2 linked regions of the Anolis sagrei genome follow. The protein of the gene in region 1 interacts with the protein of each later gene in a pairwise test. Links are inferred from orthologs where the notes say so. Each region holds a gene or a part of one and is shown on either strand. Other genes may lie near its edges.

The links.
Region 2: the proteins of NT5C2 (region 1) and MOB3B interact in binary tests that used the Homo sapiens proteins (3 or more experiments, as listed by UniProt). The two-hybrid records come from large-scale screens. The link is inferred for Anolis sagrei from reciprocal best matches to the Homo sapiens genes NT5C2 and MOB3B.

What each region holds. Positions count from the first base shown.
Region 1 is NC_090023.1:214,181,466-214,191,863, reverse strand, and holds the start of NT5C2 (cytosolic purine 5'-nucleotidase), read right to left. Parts: upstream 4,473-10,398; 5' UTR 4,365-4,472; intron 1-4,364. UniProt on the Homo sapiens protein: Broad specificity cytosolic 5'-nucleotidase that catalyzes the dephosphorylation of 6-hydroxypurine nucleoside 5'-monophosphates.
Region 2 is NC_090022.1:202,404,101-202,414,295, forward strand, and holds the start of MOB3B (MOB kinase activator 3B), read right to left. Parts: upstream 4,283-10,195; 5' UTR 4,117-4,282; intron 1-4,116. UniProt on the Homo sapiens protein: Modulates LATS1 expression in the Hippo signaling pathway which plays a pivotal role in organ size control and tumor suppression by restricting proliferation and promoting apoptosis.

The sequences.
Region 1 (10,398 bases):
CACAGATAAATAAAATTCTACATTATCTGCTTTGAACTGCAATGTATAGCAGTGTGGACTCAGGGCCTTTCCAGACAGCCCTATATCCCAGTATCTGATCCCAGGTTTTCTGCTTTAAATTGGATTATATATGTCCGCACTGCCAAATAATCTGGGATAAACAGAAAACTAGGGATCAGATCCTGGGATAAAAGGCCTGTCTGGAAGGCCCCTTAGATAACTCAGTTCAAATCAGATATTGTGAGATTTTCTGCCTTGATATTCTGGGTTATATGGCTATGTGGAAGGGCCCTATGTCAACCCATGTGATTCTGTAGAGGAAAAAAAAGGACATCCCGTGCCCTTCCACACAGCCATATAACCCAGAATATCAAGGCAGAAAATCCCACCATATCTGCTTTGAACTAGGGGCCCTTCCACACTGCCCTATATCCCAGAATACCAAGGCAGAAAATCCCACAATATCTGCTTTGAACTGGGTTATTTTAATCCACACTTAGATAATGTGGGATTTTCTGCCTTGATATTCTGGGATATAGGGCTGTGTGGAAGGGCCCTGGGTTATCAGAGTCCACTCTGCCATATATTCCAATTCAAAGCAGAAAATGTGGAATTTTATTCAGCTTTGTGGAAGGGGCCCCAGAGCTCATCTACACTGTACAGTTAATGCAATCTCCTCTGCTCCAGTGTTATAAGGTACATCTGCACTGAAAAATTAATACCACTTTAACTGACATGGTTCAATGCTATTTTTGTTTTACAGCGTCTTTAGCCTTCTCGGTGAATGAGTGCTGGTGGCTCAACAGAGTACAAATCACAAGGTTCCACAGCATAGCACCATGGCTGTTAAAGTGCTGTCAAACTACATTTGTTCGACAATGCATATGTGCCACTAGAAAGACACCTGGGAGATTGTGTGAGAGCCTTTTGACTTCATGCATCCCTTTTAATAATGTCTATTTGGAGAGAGGGACTTGGGGTTTTACACTCAGGGCCCTTCAACACAACCATATAACTCAGAATGTTGAGGCAGAAAATCCCAAAATATCTGCTTTGAGCTGGGTTATCTGAGTCTGCACTCAGATATTGTGGGATTTTCTGCCTTGATATTCTGGGATAGAGGGCTATGTGGAAGGCAGCCTCTAGGTTATCTGAGCCTCTAGGTTATCTGAGTCCACACTACCATATATTCCAGTTCAAAGCAGAAAATGTGTGATTTTATTTAGCTGTGCGAAAGGGGTCTCAGCCAGCTATTCATACAGCACTTACCAAAGGCACAGGCAGAAGGTGTGCCCAGTCCACACTGCAAAATCAATGCAGTTTGATACCATCATGACCTTAATGACTTAATCTGAATTCCTATATTATATTACTACTCATATTTGTAAGTTAAGCTAAATTTATTTATTTATTTACTTACTTACAGTATTTATATTTCGCCCTTCTCACCCCACAGGGGACTCAGGGCGAATTACAATGTACACATATATGGCAAACATTCAATGCCAAAGACACGCAACACATATAGACCGACAGTCAGAGGCTATTTAACTTTTCTGGCTGCCAGGGGAGCTGTTGCTTTCATCGTCCATATGCGACACTGATGAAGTACTTCTGCATTCCCTACATGCTTTTGCTGGAGTGCTTTGCTGGAGTCATTTTATGGCCTCATAAATTAGTTAAATTAGCCTCCCCACACATAGGTGGTACCTAATTTTCCTACTTGACAGATGCAACTGTCATTTGGGTTACAAAGGTCGACAACAAGCTACACAATTGGTCGGAAGCTCACTCCGAGCCGGGCTGGCTTCGAACTTATGACCTTTTGGTCAGAAGTGATCTTAATGCAGCTGACACTCAGCCAGCTGCGCCACAGTCCTGATGCTGTTTAATTGCTCTGTTTCCATGCTATTTCCTATGCTATTATATGTTTTCATCCACCTTATTGAAACACTTACCCTTTGACTCAGTGGTTCTCAACCTGGGGTCCCCAGATGTTTTTGGCCTTCAACTCCCAGAAATCCTAATAGCTGGTAAACTGGCTGGGATTTCTGGGAGTTGTAGGCCAAAACACCTGGGGACCCACAGGTTGAGAACCACTGCTTTAACCAGTTTCGCATACTGGCCTCCTTCCTCCCACCTCCCCTCCAAAATTAGTCTGTTGTTGCTTGATGCTTGCTTACTACTGTTATGCTGTTTTATGCTATTTTTAATTTGAAATTTGGTATTGTTCTGTTTTTAATTGTATTCTGCCTGGGCTTGGCATCATGTAAGCCGTCCCGAGTCCCTTCGGGGAGATGGAGGTGGAGTAGAAAACTAAAGTAGTTCTTGTTCTTCTGCTGCTGCTGCTTCCTCCTCCTCCTCCTCCTCCTCTTCCTCCGCTGCTGCCTCTTCTTCTTCTTCTTCTTCAACTGCTATGGTTCATTGAAATTGAATCCTGGGAGTTGTAGTTTTGCAAAGTCTTTACCCTTCTCTGCCAAAGTGTGTTGGTGCCTCCCCAAACTACAAAGTCCCTGATACTAATCCTGATACTGTTTAATTACTCTGTTCCCATGCTATTTCCTATGCCATTATACATCTCCCCGAGTCCCTTTGGGGAGATAGAGGCGGAGTAGAAAAATAAAGTAGTTCTTGTTCTTCTGCTTCTTCTTCTTCTGCTGCCTCCTCCTCCTCTTCTTCTTCCTCCTCTTCCTCCGCTGCTACCTCTTCTTCTTCTTCTTCAACTGCTATGGCTCATTGAAATTGAATCCTGGGAGTTGTAGTTTTGCAAAGTCTTTACCCTTCTCTGCCAAAGTGTGTTGGTGCCTCCCCAAACTACAAAGTCCCTGATACTAATCCTGATACTGTTTAATTGCTCTGTTCCCATGCTATTTCCTATGCTATTATACATCTCCCCAAGTCCCTTCGGGGAGATGGAGGCTGACTAGAAAAATAAAGTAGTTCTTGTTCTTCTGCTGCTGCTTCCTCCTCCTCTTCTTCTTCCTCCTCTTCTGCTTCTTCTTCTTCAACTGCTATGGCTCATTGAAACTGAATCCTAGGAGTTGTAGTTTTGCAAAGTCTTTACCCCTCTCTGCCAAAGTGTGTTGGTGCCTCCCCAAACTACAAAGTCCCTGATACTAATCCCGATACTGTTTAATTGCTCTGTTCCCATGCTATTTCTTATGCTATTATATGTCTCCCCGAGTCCCTTCGGGGAGATGGAGGTGGAGTAGAAAAATAAAGTAGTTCTTGTTCTTGTGCTTCTTCTGCTGCTGCTGCTTCCTCCTCTTCTTCTTCCTCCTCTTCTGCTTCTTCTTCTTCAACTGCTATGGCTCATTGAAATTGAATCCTAGGAGTTGTAGTCTTGCAAAGTCTTTACCCTTCTCTGCCAAAGTGTGTTGGTGCCTCCCCAAACTACAAAGTCCCTGATACTAATCCTGATACTGTTTAATTGCTCTGTTCCCATGCTATTTCCTATGCTATTATACATCTCCCCAAGTCCCTTCGGGGAGATGGAGGCTGACTAGAAAAATAAAGTAGTTCTTGTTCTTCTGCTGCTGCTTCCTCCTCCTCTTCTTCTTCCTCCTCTTCTGCTTCTTCTTCTTCAACTGCTATGGCTCATTGAAACTGAATCCTAGGAGTTGTAGTTTTGCAAAGTCTTTACCCCTCTCTGCCAAAGTGTGTTGGTGCCTCCCCAAACTACAAAGTCCCTGATACTAATCCCGATACTGTTTAATTGCTCTGTTCCCATGCTATTTCTTATGCTATTATATGTCTCCCCGAGTCCCTTCGGGGAGATGGAGGTGGAGTAGAAAAATAAAGTAGTTCTTGTTCTTGTGCTTCTTCTGCTGCTGCTGCTTCCTCCTCTTCTTCTTCCTCCTCTTCTGCTTCTTCTTCTTCAACTGCTATGGCTCATTGAAATTGAATCCTAGGAGTTGTAGTCTTGCAAAGTCTTTACCCTTCTCTGCCAAAGTGTGTTGGTGCCTCCCCAAACTACAAATCCCACAGCAACATAGCATTCAAGCAGGGTGGTTAAAGAGGCACCAAATTGTATTAATTCTACAGTGAAGATGAACCCAGAGAGAAAGAGAAGGTTTAATTAAATCAGAGCTCCCTGAGAAAGAGTGCAGTTTAATACCCCCTTTCAACGGTTATGGAATCATGAGAGTTGTAACTTGGTGAGGCCCCAGTACTCTTTGCCAGGCTTGAAGACCCCACAGAAAAGAAGGGCCGTGAGAGGCAGAACATAATAAGCGAGACGGGCTGCCTTTTGGTGACTTTCTTTCTCTCTCTTTCTCCCTTTTTTGGTTTCAGCCGTGGCTCCTGGCCCTGGTCCTCACACACAGACCCGTCTAACGGTCGCTCGGCCTGTTGCGCCCACTCACCTTCCTGGCTCGCTTCCTTCCTTCCTCGCTTCTGCCTCAAAGGAAACCGAGCCGCTGGGCTGCCGCAGCGCGAGACCGCCCTCCACGCGCCGCGCATGCGCAAGAGGCCCCCCTCCTCCCCTTCTTTCCCGCCCTGAATCAGTTAGGGAGCGGAAGCAACGTGCCACTCTCAGGCCGTGCCGCAAAGCGACAGAAGAGGAGGAGGAGGCGGCAACACGTTAACCCCTTCGTTGCTGCCGTGTGCCTTCAAGTCACTTCCGGCTAGTGGTTCTCAACCTAGACTCTAGCTCTGCCAAATGTGGACTTCAACTCCCAAAAGCCTCAGCTGTTTCGTACCACTGAAAAGGGATTCCGGGACCTGAAGTCCCAAACCCTAGGAAACACTGAAGCTTTGGGTTGCTGTGAGTTTTCCAGGCTGTATGGCCCTGTTTCAGAAGCATGCTCCCCTGACGTTTCGCCTACATCTATGGCAGGCATCCTCAGAGGTTGTGAGGTGTGTTACTTCATAGTATCCATTTACTCAGCAGAGAAGTAAGAAGAGGAAATAGAATCATAGAATCATAGAATCATAGAGTTGGAAGAGACCTCATGGGCCATCCAGTCCAACCCCCTGCCAAGAAGCAGGAATATTGCATTCAAATCACCCCTGACAAATGGCCATCCAGCCTCTGCTTAAAAGCCTCCAAAGAAGGAGCCTCCACCACACCCCGGGGCAGAGAGTTCCACTGCTGAACGGCTCTCACAGTCAGGAAGTTCTTCCTAATGTTCAGATGGAATCTCCTCTCTTGTAGTAATTAAAATAAAGAATGTACAACTCATTTTTCCGCAACAACAACAATAATAATCATAATTATAATAATACACTTTATGGGGTTGTTGTAGGTTTTTTCGGGCTATATGGCCATATGGCCATGTTCTAGAGGGATTCTCTCCTGACGTTTTGCCTGCATTCATGGCAAGCATCCTCAGAGGTAGTAAGGTCTGACCTCACTACCTCTGAGGATGCTTGCCATAGGTGCAGGCGAAACATCAGGAGAGAATGCCTCTAGAACAGGGGTCCTCAAACTTTTTAAACAGAAGGCCAGGTTACAGTCCCTCAAAGTGTTGGAGGGCCAGATTATAATTTGAAAAAAGCATGAATGAATTCCTATGCACAGTACACATATCTTATTTGTAGTGCAAAAAACACTTTAAAACAATACAGTAATTAAAATGAAGAACAATTTAAACAAATATAAATTTATTAGTATTCCAATGGGAAGTGTGGGCCTGGTTTTGGCTGATGAGATAGGATTGTTGTATGCTTTCAAGTCATTTCAGACTTAGGTTGACTGAGTGAGGGCCGGGTAAATGACCTTGGAGGGCCGTATCCGGCCCCCGGGCCTTAGTTTGAGGACCCCCACTGTATGGCCATGTTTCAGAAGCATGCGCCCCTGACGTTTCGCCTACATCTATGGCAGGTATCCTCAGAGGTTGTGAGGTGTGTTACTTCATAGTATCCATTTACTCAGCAGAGAAGTAAGAAGGGGAAATAAAGAATGTACAACTCATTTTTCAACAACAACAATAATAATCATAATCATAATAATACACTTTATTTATGTATTGTCGAAGGCTTCCATGGCTGGAATCACTGGGTTGTTGTAGATTTATCGGACTGTATGGCCATGCTCTAGAAGCATTCTCTTCTGACGTTTCACCTTTATCTGTGGCAAGCATCCTCAGAGGTTGTGAGGTTTGTTGGAAACTAAGGAAATTGGATTTATATATCTGTGGAAGGTCCAGGGTGGGAGAAAGAACTCTTGTTTATTGGAGCTAGGTATGAATGTTTCAATTGGCCACCTTGATTAGCATTTGATGGCCTGATAATTTTTAGGTGTGGCTTGTTACTGCCCAGGAAATTCCTTTCTTGAGAGGTGATTAGGTGTTCCTGATGGTTTCTTGTCTGGAGTTCCCCTGTGTTTGAGTTTTGTTTTTTATTTACTGTTTCAATTTTAGAGGTTTTTTTTAATACTGGCAGCCAGATTTTGTTCATTTTCATGGTTTCTTTCTGTTAAAATTGTCCACATGCTTGTGGATTTCAATGGCTACTCTGTGGCTAATCACATATTATGGGTTTTCATAGCTGAACCCAGGTCCCCTCCCCAAGAGTCCTAGAGTGCATCTACACTGTAGAATTAATGCAGTTTGACACCACTTGAACTGCTATGGCCTTTCTCTGCCAAACAGAGCTGGTGCCTCACCAAACTGAAACTCTCAGGATTCCATAGTATAGAGGAGTGCAAGTGGTGGCAAACTGCATTAATTCTACAATGTAGACCAGGCATTGGCAAACTTTGGCCCTCCTGGTGTTTTGGACTTCAGCTCCCACAAATCCTAACAGCTGGAAGTCCAAAACACCTGGAGGACCAAAGTTTGTACCTCAAATTGATTGCCAACCCACCCAAGATAAGGATCCTCCACAAGGATGTTTTTCTGAGAAGTGTATGAACAGCCAGGAGACAGAAAAAGACTCTAGAAATATATAAACACATCTGCTACCTCGAGCAACCACATTATGCTCTCACTAATAGCAGGTCTGGACCTGCTTGATTCATTTATAGGCCACAGAAAGTAATTTGCAGCAGTTTAAGAACTGTGTACTACCCTCAGGGGCAATGCAAGATGATGTCTCTTTCTTCAGCTATACATTGGATAGATTTTTTCTTCACAAAACAGAAAGAGGGACTTTCTTAGCCTTTGTCCCTGGAAACAAAATGTTTTCTCTAATATTATGGGGAAAATGGCACGTGTTAGAGTCAAGGGAGTTGTAATTTTTCAAGGTCTTTCGTCTTCTTTGCTGAAATGAGCTGGAGCCTCACCAAACTACATAGCATTGAGCCGTGGCAGCTAAACTGATGTCAGACCGCATTAATTCTACAGTGTAGATGTACCCTCAATGGGATGTGTGTGCTGCCCTTGTTATTGTTCTTGAAGTGCAAACGTGACAGCTTATTTATGTTCTCCTTTTTTACCATGAGGTTTTACTTCAGTCTTCTTTTAACATTGGGTCCCATGTCAAGAGAAAGGTGAGATACTCAATAAATATGAGTTAAGATAGATATACTAGAACTATCTGGTATATAGACTGTATAGACTGCATTGTACGGCCAAGTGAATATACTGTTTGTTGTATTTCGCTATGTCATAATACAGCATATCAGCGTTTTCTTTTATCTAGATATGAGGAATGTGGAACCCTCCAGATGATTCAATTGCATCTCTCATGATTGAGTATGCTGACTATTCTTCATGGGTGTTTTTGAGCCCACGAGGACAATTTGGCGCCTGTCCCAGCTTTATTTTTATTGTCTTTATGTATTGTTCTTGTGTGCCACTCTGAGGCCCCATCTACATGAACTATTTAATGCTGTTTCAAACCAGTATTGAAAAAAATGGTTTCACTGTGCAGATGATTACATAGGAAACCCTGGAACCATTTTGAGGTCCAGTTGATGAGTTCACAAGCCATGGATACTGATGAGCATTAAGGATTTTCTTTCACATGCTTTTGTGGGTGTTTGTTGTCTGGCCACCACAGTTCAAAGCTAGCTTTGTACTGGATTAAATGGTCCATGTTCATAGGGCCTGCCTAAGACAAACTGATAATTGGGTTTTCTAAGGTTGAAAGGAGTGTTGGATTCAGCCCGTTCGAGTCAGTAAGCACTTTAAATGTTTTGGTGCTGCTATATATATATATAATACATCTCCAGTTCAAAATTTATATGTCAAAAATTGTATGTCAAAAATTGGCATTGAATGTTTGCCATATATGTGTACACTGTAATCCGCCCTGAGTCCCCTGCAGGGTGAGAAGGGTGGAATATAAAAGCTGTAAATAAATAAATAAATAAAATATTAACAATAACAAAACATACATTTTTTGGAAATGAAACAAAACTTACAATGAAATGGAAAATAATGTTTTTTATACTTCCACTTTATTTTTCTTTGAAAAGTTTCCCCCTACTTCTTCTGATTGCAAAATCTTTTATTGTGGGAGTCTTTTTTTTGTGGAATGTGGTTTAGCGGCACTAATTGCACTTTTGCACCATAGGGTCCATGGTAAATCCAGCAATGGAATTTTTCAGTGGTGCTTCCCTTCCCTTGATGCCTTAAGCACATGTTTGTTTTGCTTAATGGCTAATCCAGCCCCGTTGTGTCCTTTCATGTCGGTTCTGACTTAAGGAGACCCTATCTTGGGATATTTGGGGGGGGGGGGGAGCATGTGACTTATCAAGGTCATTCAGTGGGTTTCCATGGCTGAGCAGGGATTTGAACCCTGAGGCACACCTATACTGATCACTTAGGTGGTGAGAAACCAACAAAGGAAGAAACAATTTCATTGTGCAGATAATTACATGTGAAATCCTGGAACTACTTTGAGGCCTGGATGGTGTGTATATGCATCACAGAGACTGACCTCAAATTGGTTCCAGGATCCATGGCTTTATGGCTGGTAATTTGGGGGGGGGGGGGGGTCCATCTATGCATGTTCATCGCGGCATGTAGATTACTGGAGTGCCCTTTCCTTGATCAGTTTCACCATGCAATTTGGGGCCCTTCCACACAGAATATCCCAGAATATCAAGGCAGAAAATCCCACAAGATATGCTTTAAATTGGGTTATCTAAGTCCACACTCAGATCATTCTCATGCCCATTATAGTGTCTATTTCATAGTATCCCTGGACTTTGGCCCCATATGTACTGCCTACTTAATGCAGTTTGAAGCAAGCCTCTGCACTGTAGAATTAATGCATTTTGAGGTCAGTCTCTGTGATGCATATACACACCATCCACTTTAACTGCCATGGCTCAATGATACAAAATCCTGGGAATTGTAGTTTGGCGAGGCACCTGCACTCTGGTAGAGAAGGCCAGAGATCTTCTAAAACTAAACTCCTATGATTCCATAATACTGAGCTATGGCAGTCAAAGTTGTGTCAAACCGCATTAATTTCCATAGTATAGATGTACCTGAACCCTTCCCAAATGCTACAGGTAAAATAAACATGTCTTGTTTATTGTGGATGTTTCTTCAGACCATTGGGTCCTTCCACACAGCCATATAACCAAGAATATCAAGGCAAAATAACCTACAATATCTGTTTTGAACTGGAATATCTGAGTCCACACTGTCATATATCCCAGTTTAAAAACAGATAATTGTAGGATTTTATTCAGCTGTGTGGAAGGGACTTTTTTTTTTTACATTTTGTTTGCATAAACGAGAAAATGCACTAATTTGCTTACTGTCCCTAAGCGAACAGAAGGCTAAAAGCCATGCGCAAGGGGAGGAGAGCCCTTCAGCCAATGAAAAGAGCAGAGGAGGAAATTGTTTTGTGACTCCAGGTCTGTAGCTGGAATGAGTTTGGCAAGACTGTGAACTGGGGCTGTCTCTTTCAAGAATGAACTCGCCGCCCACGCTTTCATGCCAGGAGCTCTTACTAAAGAACAGAAAGCTATCTTATCCCTGTGATCCTTCTCCTAACGAAATAACTGGACATAGTTTGTTTTTTAAAAGATTAGCAAATGATTATGGTTAAACTCTGGGGTGCATCTACACTGTAGAATGAATGTACTTTGACACTGCTTCAATTGCTATGGCTCAATACTATGGGAGTTGTACCTTACAAGGTCTTTAGCCATCTCTGCCAAGAATTGCAGGTTACTCACCAAACTGCAACTGCTATGATTCCATAGCACTGAACCAGGGAAGTTGAAGTGGTTTCAAACTGCATTAATTCTACCTTATGGATGCATCACTGGGTTTGCTGAAACCATTTCCAATCCATTTATTAGAATTTCTCCAACTTATTCTGGCATTTCCAATTTCCCAAAGAGTTTGTTGCTGTTCATTCATTCAGTCGTTTCCGACTCTTCATGACCTCATGGACCAGCCCACACCAGAGCTCCCTGTCGGCTGTCACCACCCCCTTCAAGGTCAATCCAGTCACTTCAAGGATGCCATCCATCTTGCCTTTGGATGGCCC
Region 2 (10,195 bases), on another chromosome or scaffold:
ATATGGAATAACAGTCCTCCTGCTTCACTATCTAGGATTCAACCCTCCAGACCCTCTAGCTTTTTGAAATTATGATTTTGGTTTTCAAAAAGAAAAAGTCCCCAAGTTCCCACCCTGCTCTCTACATCTCCCTCTATTTGGGAGTTAAACAATAGGCAAACAAAAGCCTTATTCTGTATTCAGCTTTCTGTGGATAATGCTTTCCAATGCGGGGGCCTTTACTCCTTCGTATATAAAAAATGTAAAGGACACTAGGCACTTTCTAAAGGCATCCCAATGCCCCCCCCCCCCCATCTTCTGTGTAGGTGTGTTTCAATTCATCATTATTCCAAAATCATGTACTGCATTGAAAGAAAGGCGGAGAATCCAAACTTTTAACAGATGTCCCAGAATAGATTTCTAGCTAACTTCCCACCAAACTAATTATTATTATTATATTATTATTAATTCAGGTAAAGGTAAAGGAAGACGAGATATGGCTGGCATGACTGCATGGAGCGCCATTACCTTCCCACAGAAGCGGTACCAATTTACTCACACCTGAATGTTTTCAAACTGCTAGGGTCAACTGCAGGAGCTCACCCTGCTCCCCAGATTCGAACCGCTGACCTTTTGGTCAGTAAGTTCAGCAGCTCGGCAGTTTAACCCACTGTGCCACCAGGGGCTCATTATTATCATTATTATTTATTACAGCTTGAGAATTCATTTGCTAGAATTCCAAAGTCTAAAATTGTCCATATGGGTGGCTGACATAGGACAAATCTGTAGACTGACATTGGGCAAATCTAACATAGGACGCTATAGACTTAATAAAGTTTGACACTACTGCCATGGCATAAGGCTATGGAATCCTGGGATTTATAGTTCAAGGAGTCAACAGCACTCTTTGGCAGAGACAGCTAAAGGTCTTGCAAAACTACAACTCCCGGAAATCCATAGCATTGTGCCCTCATAGTTAAAGTGATGTTAAACTGCTCCCGTTCTACTGTGTACATCAGTGGTCTCCAATCTTTGGGCCTCCAGGTGTTTTAGACTTCGGCTCCCATAGTTCCTAACAGCTGGTAAACTGGCTGGGATTTCTGGGAGTTGAAGTCCAAAAGACCTGGAGGCCCAAAGGTTGGGAACCACTGGTGTAGATGCACCCATAGGGATGTGATTGCTTTTTGTGATAATTTAATGCATATAGTTTCATGACCAACATGATGGAAACAAGTGATGGAGAAAATTACTCAAATGTATTAAGATGTATGTGCAACATCCATGAATTTTGTGTTTACGCACTGGTCTCATCTCCAGGATAGCTCGTAGTATAGACTAATTCATTCTACAGTGTAGTAAGGTAAAGGTAAAGGTTTTCCCCTGACATTAAGTCCAGTCGTGTCCGATTGGTGGTCATCTCCATTTCTAAGCCAGAAGCCAGCATTGTCCGTAGACACCTCCAAGATCATGTGGCCTGCATGACTGCATGGAGCGCCGTTACCTTCCCACTGGAGTGGTACCTATTGATCTACTCACACTTGCATGTCAGCCCCAGCTTCAGGTTGGCAGAAGCTGGGGCTGACAGCAGAAACTCATGACAGCAGAAACCGGATTTGAACCTGCGACTTTTCGGTCAAGTGTAGTAGATGCACCCTTTAACTGCCACAACTCAGTGCTATTTAATCATGGGAGTTGTAGTTTTTCAAGACCTTTAGGCTTCTCTGCCAAAGAGGGAATGTGCCTTACTAAACTATAACTTCCAGAACCTCAAAACACTTTTGGTCCCAAGCATTTCTGCTAAGAGAGACTCAATGTGTGTATCGTCGTCGTCGTCATCATCAGTTTCCCTGCTGAAAATGTAGTGAAAGGGGTGTCAAACTGAATTAATTATAGTGTAGATGCACACCCTGCCTCCACAGGGACTTTAATTTGCTCTCCGTGATCCTCCTTCCTTGGCAAGGCAAGAGGCAACAACCCAGCGCATGACTACTCCAACCAGGCACAGCTTTTGGAAACAGAGCACTTCCCATCCCCGCCACACACTTCTTTCTGCGGGCTTTTAATTCAATTCAAACAAGTCACGCTCAGCCCTTGGGTGCTGCAGAGGGAGCCCAAGTCACAAGGCACGCCAAGGGCCCAAGGAGCCTAACCTTGGAAAAAGAAATATAGGATTTCCCAAAGTATATACTGCATTAATAAACTTGTCCTTCTGGATTTTGCATTTTTTTACATTTACCCCCAAAACATGCCCAAACCCCTTGAAAGATCCTAATAACAGAGAAGTGTGGCCTAATGACAATAGTAACTTTCTAGAGAGTTTTGCAATTTGATGCTTCGGCCAGGCAAAACGAGACATAAACATTGCCATTTAAAATAGAATTAGAAACTCACTTTAGAATAGATCCAGTTTGACACCACATGGAAATGGCAGGCCATAATGCGATGGAAACATGGGATTTGTAGCTTAGTGAGGCACCAGCACTCTTGGGCAGAGAAGGCACAAGGTCTTGTCAAAGTCAAACTCGCAGGATCCCCATAGCATTCTGTTTGACACCATGTGGAACTGCCATGTCTCAATACTATGGGGATCCTGGGAGTTGTAGTTTGCCAAGGTCTTTAGTTTAACACCAAACTACAACTCCCAGGATCCCCATAACATTCAGCCATGGGTGCATCTAAAGTGCAGAATCCATGCAGTTTGACACCACTTGGAACTGTCATGTCTCAATGCTATGGGGAACCTGGGAGTTGTAGTTTGACAAGGTCTTTAGTTTGTCAAGGTGACCAAACTACAACTTCCAGGATCCCCATAGCATCCCTGCAGTTTGACACCACTTGGAACTGCCATGTCTCAATGCTATGGGGAACCTGGAGTTGTAGTTTGACAAGGTCTTTAGTTTGTCAAGGTGACCAAACCATAACTTCCAGGATCCCCATAGCATCCCTGCAGTTTGACACCACTTGGAACTGCCATATCTCAATGCCATGGGGATCCTGGAAGTTGTAGTCATGCAGTTTGACACCACCTGGAATTGCCATGTCTCAATGCTATGAGGATCCTGGGAGTTGTAGTTTGCCAATGTCTTTAGTTTGATACGGTCACCAAACTACAACTTCCAGGATCCCCATAGCATCCAGCCAAGGGTGCATCTACATAGTGTAGAATCTATGCAGTTTGATACCTCTTGCAACTAACTGCCATGTCTCAATACTATGTGGATCCTGGGAGTTGTAGTTTGGCAAAGTCTTTAGTTTGATACGATTACCAAACTACAACTCCCAGGGCCCCCATAACATCCATGCAGTTTGACACCACTTGGAAGTGCCATGTCTCAATACTATGGGGATCCTAGTTTGCCAAGTTCTTTAGTTTGACACAGTCGCCAAACTACAACTCTCAGGATCCCTATAGCATCCCTGCAGTTTGACACCACTGGAACTGTCATGTTTAAACGCTATGAGGTTCCTAGGAGTTGTAGTTTGGCAAGGTCTTTAGTCTGACAATGGCTACCAAACTACAACTCCCAGGATCCCCATACCATTCAGCCATGGATGCATCTACAGTGTAGAATCCATGCAGTTGCAACTCCCATGTCCAAGTACTATGGGGATCCTGGGAATTGTAGTTTGACAAGGTCACCAAACTACAACTCTCAGGATCCCCAGAGCATTGAGACACGGCAATTAAAAGTGGTGTGCAATTATATTAATTCTACAGTGTAGATGCTCCTTGAGTCGAATGGGTTTGGGGCTATCCTCAAACAACCCAAACTACAACTCCCATATAGCATGGAGACAGGGCAGTTCAAGTATTCTGTCCTATGATGCAGGGGAGTCCTTGATCCCCACGAGGCTGGCTTCCTATTCTCTTCCAAAGAAAGGGAAGCAAGGAGCCAACTTTTGACGACTCCAATCTGTTGCACAATCCGAGAGGCGCCCTCTCCCCCTCCTCTTTGGCTGGGACACGAGAAAGAAATACCCACGCACGACTCCTTCCTTCCACGCTGGGCTTCCCTCTGAAAGCGATCCCAGACCCCAATGGGGCGAGGCAGCCAAATAATCACGCGGGATCGTGGATTTGGTTGAGTTGGGGAGAGGAACAACGTGCTCCCCCGGTTTTTTCAAAGAGAGTCTTACCTTCAAGCTGTTGGATCCGTCCTTCCACGATCCACAAGAGAGAGAAAAGGCAATCCCACGCCACGATAGAAAAGAAAAAGGAGGCAAAGATCCCGTTTGGAGACAAGCAGAGACACCCACAAAACGCCCCGGACTCGCGCGGGACCGGATTGGAAACAGCGCCCCCAGCGGACGATGTCGGGTACTGCAGGGCTCCCTTTCTTAACCAATGGAAGGGCCAAAGCCCAGGGAGCGTGGCTAAAGTTCGAAAAGGAAAAAAGACGCAAAACCAAGGGAAGGAAAGGCACCCTTGCAATTTTGCGCCTGGAGAGGAAGGAGGCGCTTTTGCCTTCTTCCTCCCAAACTTTGGTCTTCTTTTGGACTTCAACTCCCAGAAGTCGCAACCAACTTGGCCAAAGGCATGGGATTCTGGGAGATGAAGTCCAACACATCTGGAAGATCAAAGTTTCTCAACCACTAGGTTAAGAGGATTCTGGACTTGTTTATTTGTTTGTTTGTTTCTCATTGTTAGTGTATTCTGGCATTTAATTTTGGCCATTTTTGACTGGAAACAGCCCTGAGTCTCTTTGGGGAGATAGGGCGGTATATAAATAATAATAATAATAATAATAATTATAATTATTATTATTATTATTATTATTATTTGAAACACAACAAGATGAGTCCACAGCAAACAAGGTTCAATTCAATTATTATCATCATCATCATTATTATTATTAAAACAGAACAAGATGAGTCCACAGCAAACAAGATTCAATTCTATTATTATTGTTATTGTTATTATTATTATTAGAAATATAACAAGATGAGGCCACAGCAGACAAGATCACTCTGCTGGCTGTTGTACTGGATCACACGTCGGACACTTCCCAAGTGTCTAGGACTGTGTGATGTATCGGCTAATAATGTGTGCAGATCCCAGTAAGGTGGCCTTTTGCAGATAGCAGATGGTAATTTTGTCAGTGCTGATTGTGTTTAAGTGCAGGCCAAGGTCTTTAGACACTGCACCCAGTGTGTCGATCACCACTGGGACCACCTTGACTGGCTTGTGCCAGAGTCTTTGCAGTTCGATATTATTATTATTATTATTATTATTATTATTATAGCATTTTAATGATTTTAATAATATCTATATAAATAAAAATGTAATGTTCATTTGTGGGATTAACATAACTCAAAAACCACTGGACGAATTGACACAAAATTTGGACACAATACACCTAACAGTCCAACGAATGTCCATCACTCATAAACACATACACACAAAACCCCAGTGGAACAGACTTTAAAACCACAAAAATACATTACATATACATATACACTCATATACATATGCACACATTCATACACACACACATGTATATATACGCACGCACACAAACATACACACATACATATACATACACACACATATATATACTTATACACATGTACATATTCATGCACATATACATATCCACATGCATACATATATACACACAAATATGCATGTAGACAAGCACACACATATACGCAATATGCATTTACAGATATACACAAATATATACACCCATATATATATACACACATACACACACACGTGGCAGGGGATGGCTAGTATATATATATACTTTTATTATTACTGTAATTATATTATTTATGTAGCATTTTAATGATCCTAATTATATATATAGTATTTCAATGTTGCATTTTGTATTGTATTTTATAATCTGGTTTTTATGTATTTGTTTATCTGTCCTGTGTGTGAAAGACCTATGGTCTAAGCATTGAATAAACTATTTACCTACCTATTTCCATATTTGTGTGTTGTGGTTTTTAAATCACACATTTTTTAAAATGTTGTGAACCGCATTGTTTTTCAATCAAGACAGAATCAGGATATTATTGTTGTTGTTGTTTTATACAGTTCACAAAGAGCAAGGATGCTTCTACACTGTAAAATTAATGCAGTTCGACACCCCTTTTAAGTGCCATGGTTCGATTCTATGGAATCCGGGGAGTTTGTAGTCTTCTCTTTCAAAAAGTGCTGATGGCTCACCAAACTACAACTCCCAGGATAGCATAGCATTGAGACATTGTGGTATCAAACTGCGTTCCACAATATTGATGCGCTCTAAGACAGTTCAAAATAGTCCAGCACAAAGCTTCTGCTTAAGACTGAAATGGCAAGTCTGCACCGCTCTAGTTCAAAATCTCTTGGGATGCTTCTACAATGTGGTACGACACCACTTTAAGTGCCATGGCTCAATGCAACAGAATCCTGGGAGCTGTCAGAACTCAAGACACAATTGAAGACGTATCTTCACATTTTTGAGCCTGATTGCTAAATAATGGAGACATGTCTTCCATTGTGATGCATCCCCTTCTGGCTGGCTTTTATGAAATCTTACTGAAAGATGGCTTTTGTGGGAAGTAAGCCAATGACAGAGACAATGAATTGGAGTTAGAGTTAGTTAGTAAAACAGAGTGAGTTACAGAAGAGTTATTGGAACCATTTTTGGTCTTTGGAACACATTTGGAGAGGCAGGCCCCATCTATCCAAACAGCATAATGCAGCCAACAACAACAACAACAACAACACAACCTCACCTATGAGGATGCCTGCCATAGATGCAGGTGAAATGTCAGGAGAGAATGCTTCTAGAACATGGCCATGTAACCCACAACAACCCAACAACAACAACACTTTATTTGTATCCCACCACCATCTCCCCAAAGGGACTCAGGGTGGCTTACGGAAAGCACTCAATAGTGCTTTAAAATGAAATCACGGAGGCCACAAAACACATGCCGCCAGTGCGCACTGCAGCACACATTAAAGAGAACATACAGTACATTTTTAAAAGTTGCAGGGAATGCACCGCAACAAATACCAGTGTATCCGAGGTCCAGGGCAAAATTGGCTCCACAAAATGCAGAGTGCACTGCAGATACCCACTGCTGCTGAAGCACAGTAAATAAACCAGAATGAGGGCTACTAAGACCCCCCCACCCAGGGCATGACTAATTGACTGTCTTTGAGTAGTAATTGATCACCTCTGCTCTTCACGGTAATCCCTCCCTACTTTTAAATCCCACATGCCTAATTTGCTGATGCGCACCTCTACAGAAATTGGGGGGAAAGTCTGCACAATGCTTAGAGGCCAGGTTCAATATAATCACCATCCTTACTTCAAACTGGTTGCAGACATGGCAATCTAATCACCTGCAGAGCAAAACCAGTTCCTCCCATACCAGTTCTAAGCTGCATTAAATTGTAGTGGGTGGGAATAGTGAATTGTAAGAACAGTGTTAAGACATTTAACCTATGGAATCGTATGGACCAGTTCAGTGAATGCAAATCCTGACCTTTGTTCCTGTTATAGCCGCTCGGAGTTGCACTCCAACAACAACTTCAAAGCCACACAGATTCCAATCCATGGTTAGGATAAGTGAGACAGTTATAGTAGTAAGTTATGGAATGAGTCCTTCAAATGAGTAAGGGAAAGGGAGCAAGGGAGTTTTAAGGAGTGCAGGTTAGTGAGATATAGAAAATTATTTTCTTAAAGTAGAGAGCTGGATTTCTTTGGTTTCTGTCTCTCCCTGTTATCTGTCAGAAATCTTACGGGACCTCCTTGTCTATGCTATTGCCACAGGTGCTATGCTCAAGGGAGTGTTTTCCTTAGCTTGAATAATTCACACCAAGGGGCCAATCATTTCTAGTTTCAGGAAGCCCCCATTCATCCTATGGGTTAAGCACCAGAGCAATGTTAGGAAACAGAATTGGTTGAAAAGAGGAACCCAGTCTTTTCAAAGCTCTTCACTGCATTTTGGCTACCAAAAATGTAAAAAATAAATGCTATACATCACTTTTCAACATGTGCAAAAGTTATTTTAGCTTCATCATTGCACTTAGTTGCCAATGTGACTACTGTACAGTAAGGTAAAAGTTTCCCCTGACATTAAGTCTAGTTGTGTCTGACTCTGGTGGGTAGTGCTCATCTCCATTTCTAAGCCAAAGAGCTGGCATTGTCGATAGATGCCTCCAAGGTCATGTAACCGGCATGACTGCATGGAGCACTGTTACCTTCCTGCTGGAGCAGTACCTATTGATCTACTCTCATTTGCATGTTTTCGAACTGCTAGGTTGGCAAAAGTTGTGCCTAACAGCGGGAGCTCAGCCAGCTCCCTGGATTTGACTTGCCAACCTTTCAGTTAGCAAGTTCAGCAACTCAGCGCTTTAACCCACTTTAACGCCATCAGGAGGCCAGTACTATAAGTAAAAATAATTTTAATGCTATATTATATAATATTGTATAATGTACTGTATATACATAATTAAATTTTACTTTACTGTGAATATATACTATACTGTATAATGTATTACAGACACAAATAACTAACATTGTGAGAATTGCACTGGCCCCAATTTTATAATCACTACTGACTGACCACAGACTGAATAATCAAAGAAGGTATGCGATCACTGAGGTTGCACTAAAGAATGAATGTAGTTTGATATGACTTGAATTACTACGGCTCAATGTGGTTTGTAGATCTTCCTCTAAATAAGCATAGACCACATGGAGACTACATGTAGTGTAGATGCACCCTGGCTTTAAAAGTAGCTTGTGGTGCTATCTCTGCATGAGTTCATTTCTCAGGAGCAAAAGGATACATTATAACACACCCCTTCTACTATATGGTTTTTGGGAACATAGCCTTTCCCTTTCTACATGTACACCACAGTTAAGCAGGAAAAAGTCAAAGGCTGAGCTATTATTATCTGACTGGTACAAGTTCCCAACAGTGGGCTGTATGTTCTCTCCAGCCCACCTGCCATTTCTTGCACTCTCCTTCCCTAACTATCACATTTTCCCTTCTGACATCTTCTTTCATGAACCAATCAGCAACCCAACACCCCAATTCATACACTTCTCCCTGTTCTCACACCTTACCATACTTGTAAAATATAGATCAAGTCCAAACATAGAGTTCATTTATGTTTCACATGCACCTTACACACATTGCCTGATGGTAATTTTATTTCTTGATTAAGTTATGCATGAAACAAAATTTGTGTACACTGAGCCATTGTAAAGCAAAGGTGTCATTTTCTCCCCCATGCAAATGGACACTTTTTGTTGGAAATAGCAACTTTCCAAGCCTCCAGTAACTGTTTGTAAATGTGTATAATTGTTAACCTATATTGTATGTACATTTTGGTTTGCCAGTTTAACTGTACCTCTTTGGTGTGAAGGAGCTTCAGGCACAGAACTCCATGTTTGTTATCCAGTTTGCATCAGACCTCAGTGGAGGTGGATGCATGTTGCTGTCTGGACTTTAGTAGAGAAGTATGATTTTCAGACTTCAGTGAGTATGGTTATACAGTTTGGACTATATCTGTATCTTAAAGACATTCGACTATTGACTTTGTTGTTGTTCATTCGTTCAGTCGTTTCTGACTCTTCGTGACCTTATGGACCAGCCCATGCCAGAGCTCCCTGTCGGCCGTCACCACCCCCAGCTCCTTCAAGATCAATCCAGTCACTTCAAGGATACCATTCATCCATCTTGCCCTTTGTCAGCCCCTCTTCCTTTTTCCTTCCATTTTTCCCAGCATAATTGTCTTCTCTAAGCTTTCCTGTCTTCTCATGATGTGGCCAAAGTACTTCATCTTTGTCTCTAATATTCTTCCCTCCAATGAGTAGTCGGGTTTTGTTTCCTGGAGGATGGACTGGTTGGATCTTCTCGCGGTCCAAAGCACTCTCAGAACTTTCCTCCAACACCACAGTTCAAAAGCATCTATCTTCCTTTGCTCAGCCTTCTCTGAAGTCCAGCTCCCAAATATACAAGAAGTTTGTTAGTAAACCTGAGATGTTATTTTTAAAGAAGACTACAGTGGTCCCTCACTCCTTTGTGGTCCACTTATCGCAGACTTGCTGTTTCATGGGGTTTTTAAAAAAGAAAATAATTTCACCCTCCTTACCTTCTTCATCATTCTCCTCTTTGCCGCTTGGGGCCTCTTGCTGCCGCTTGGACCCCATGCGGTGTCGCAGCAAGAGGCCCCAGGCAGCGAAGAGGAGGAGGATGAGGAAGG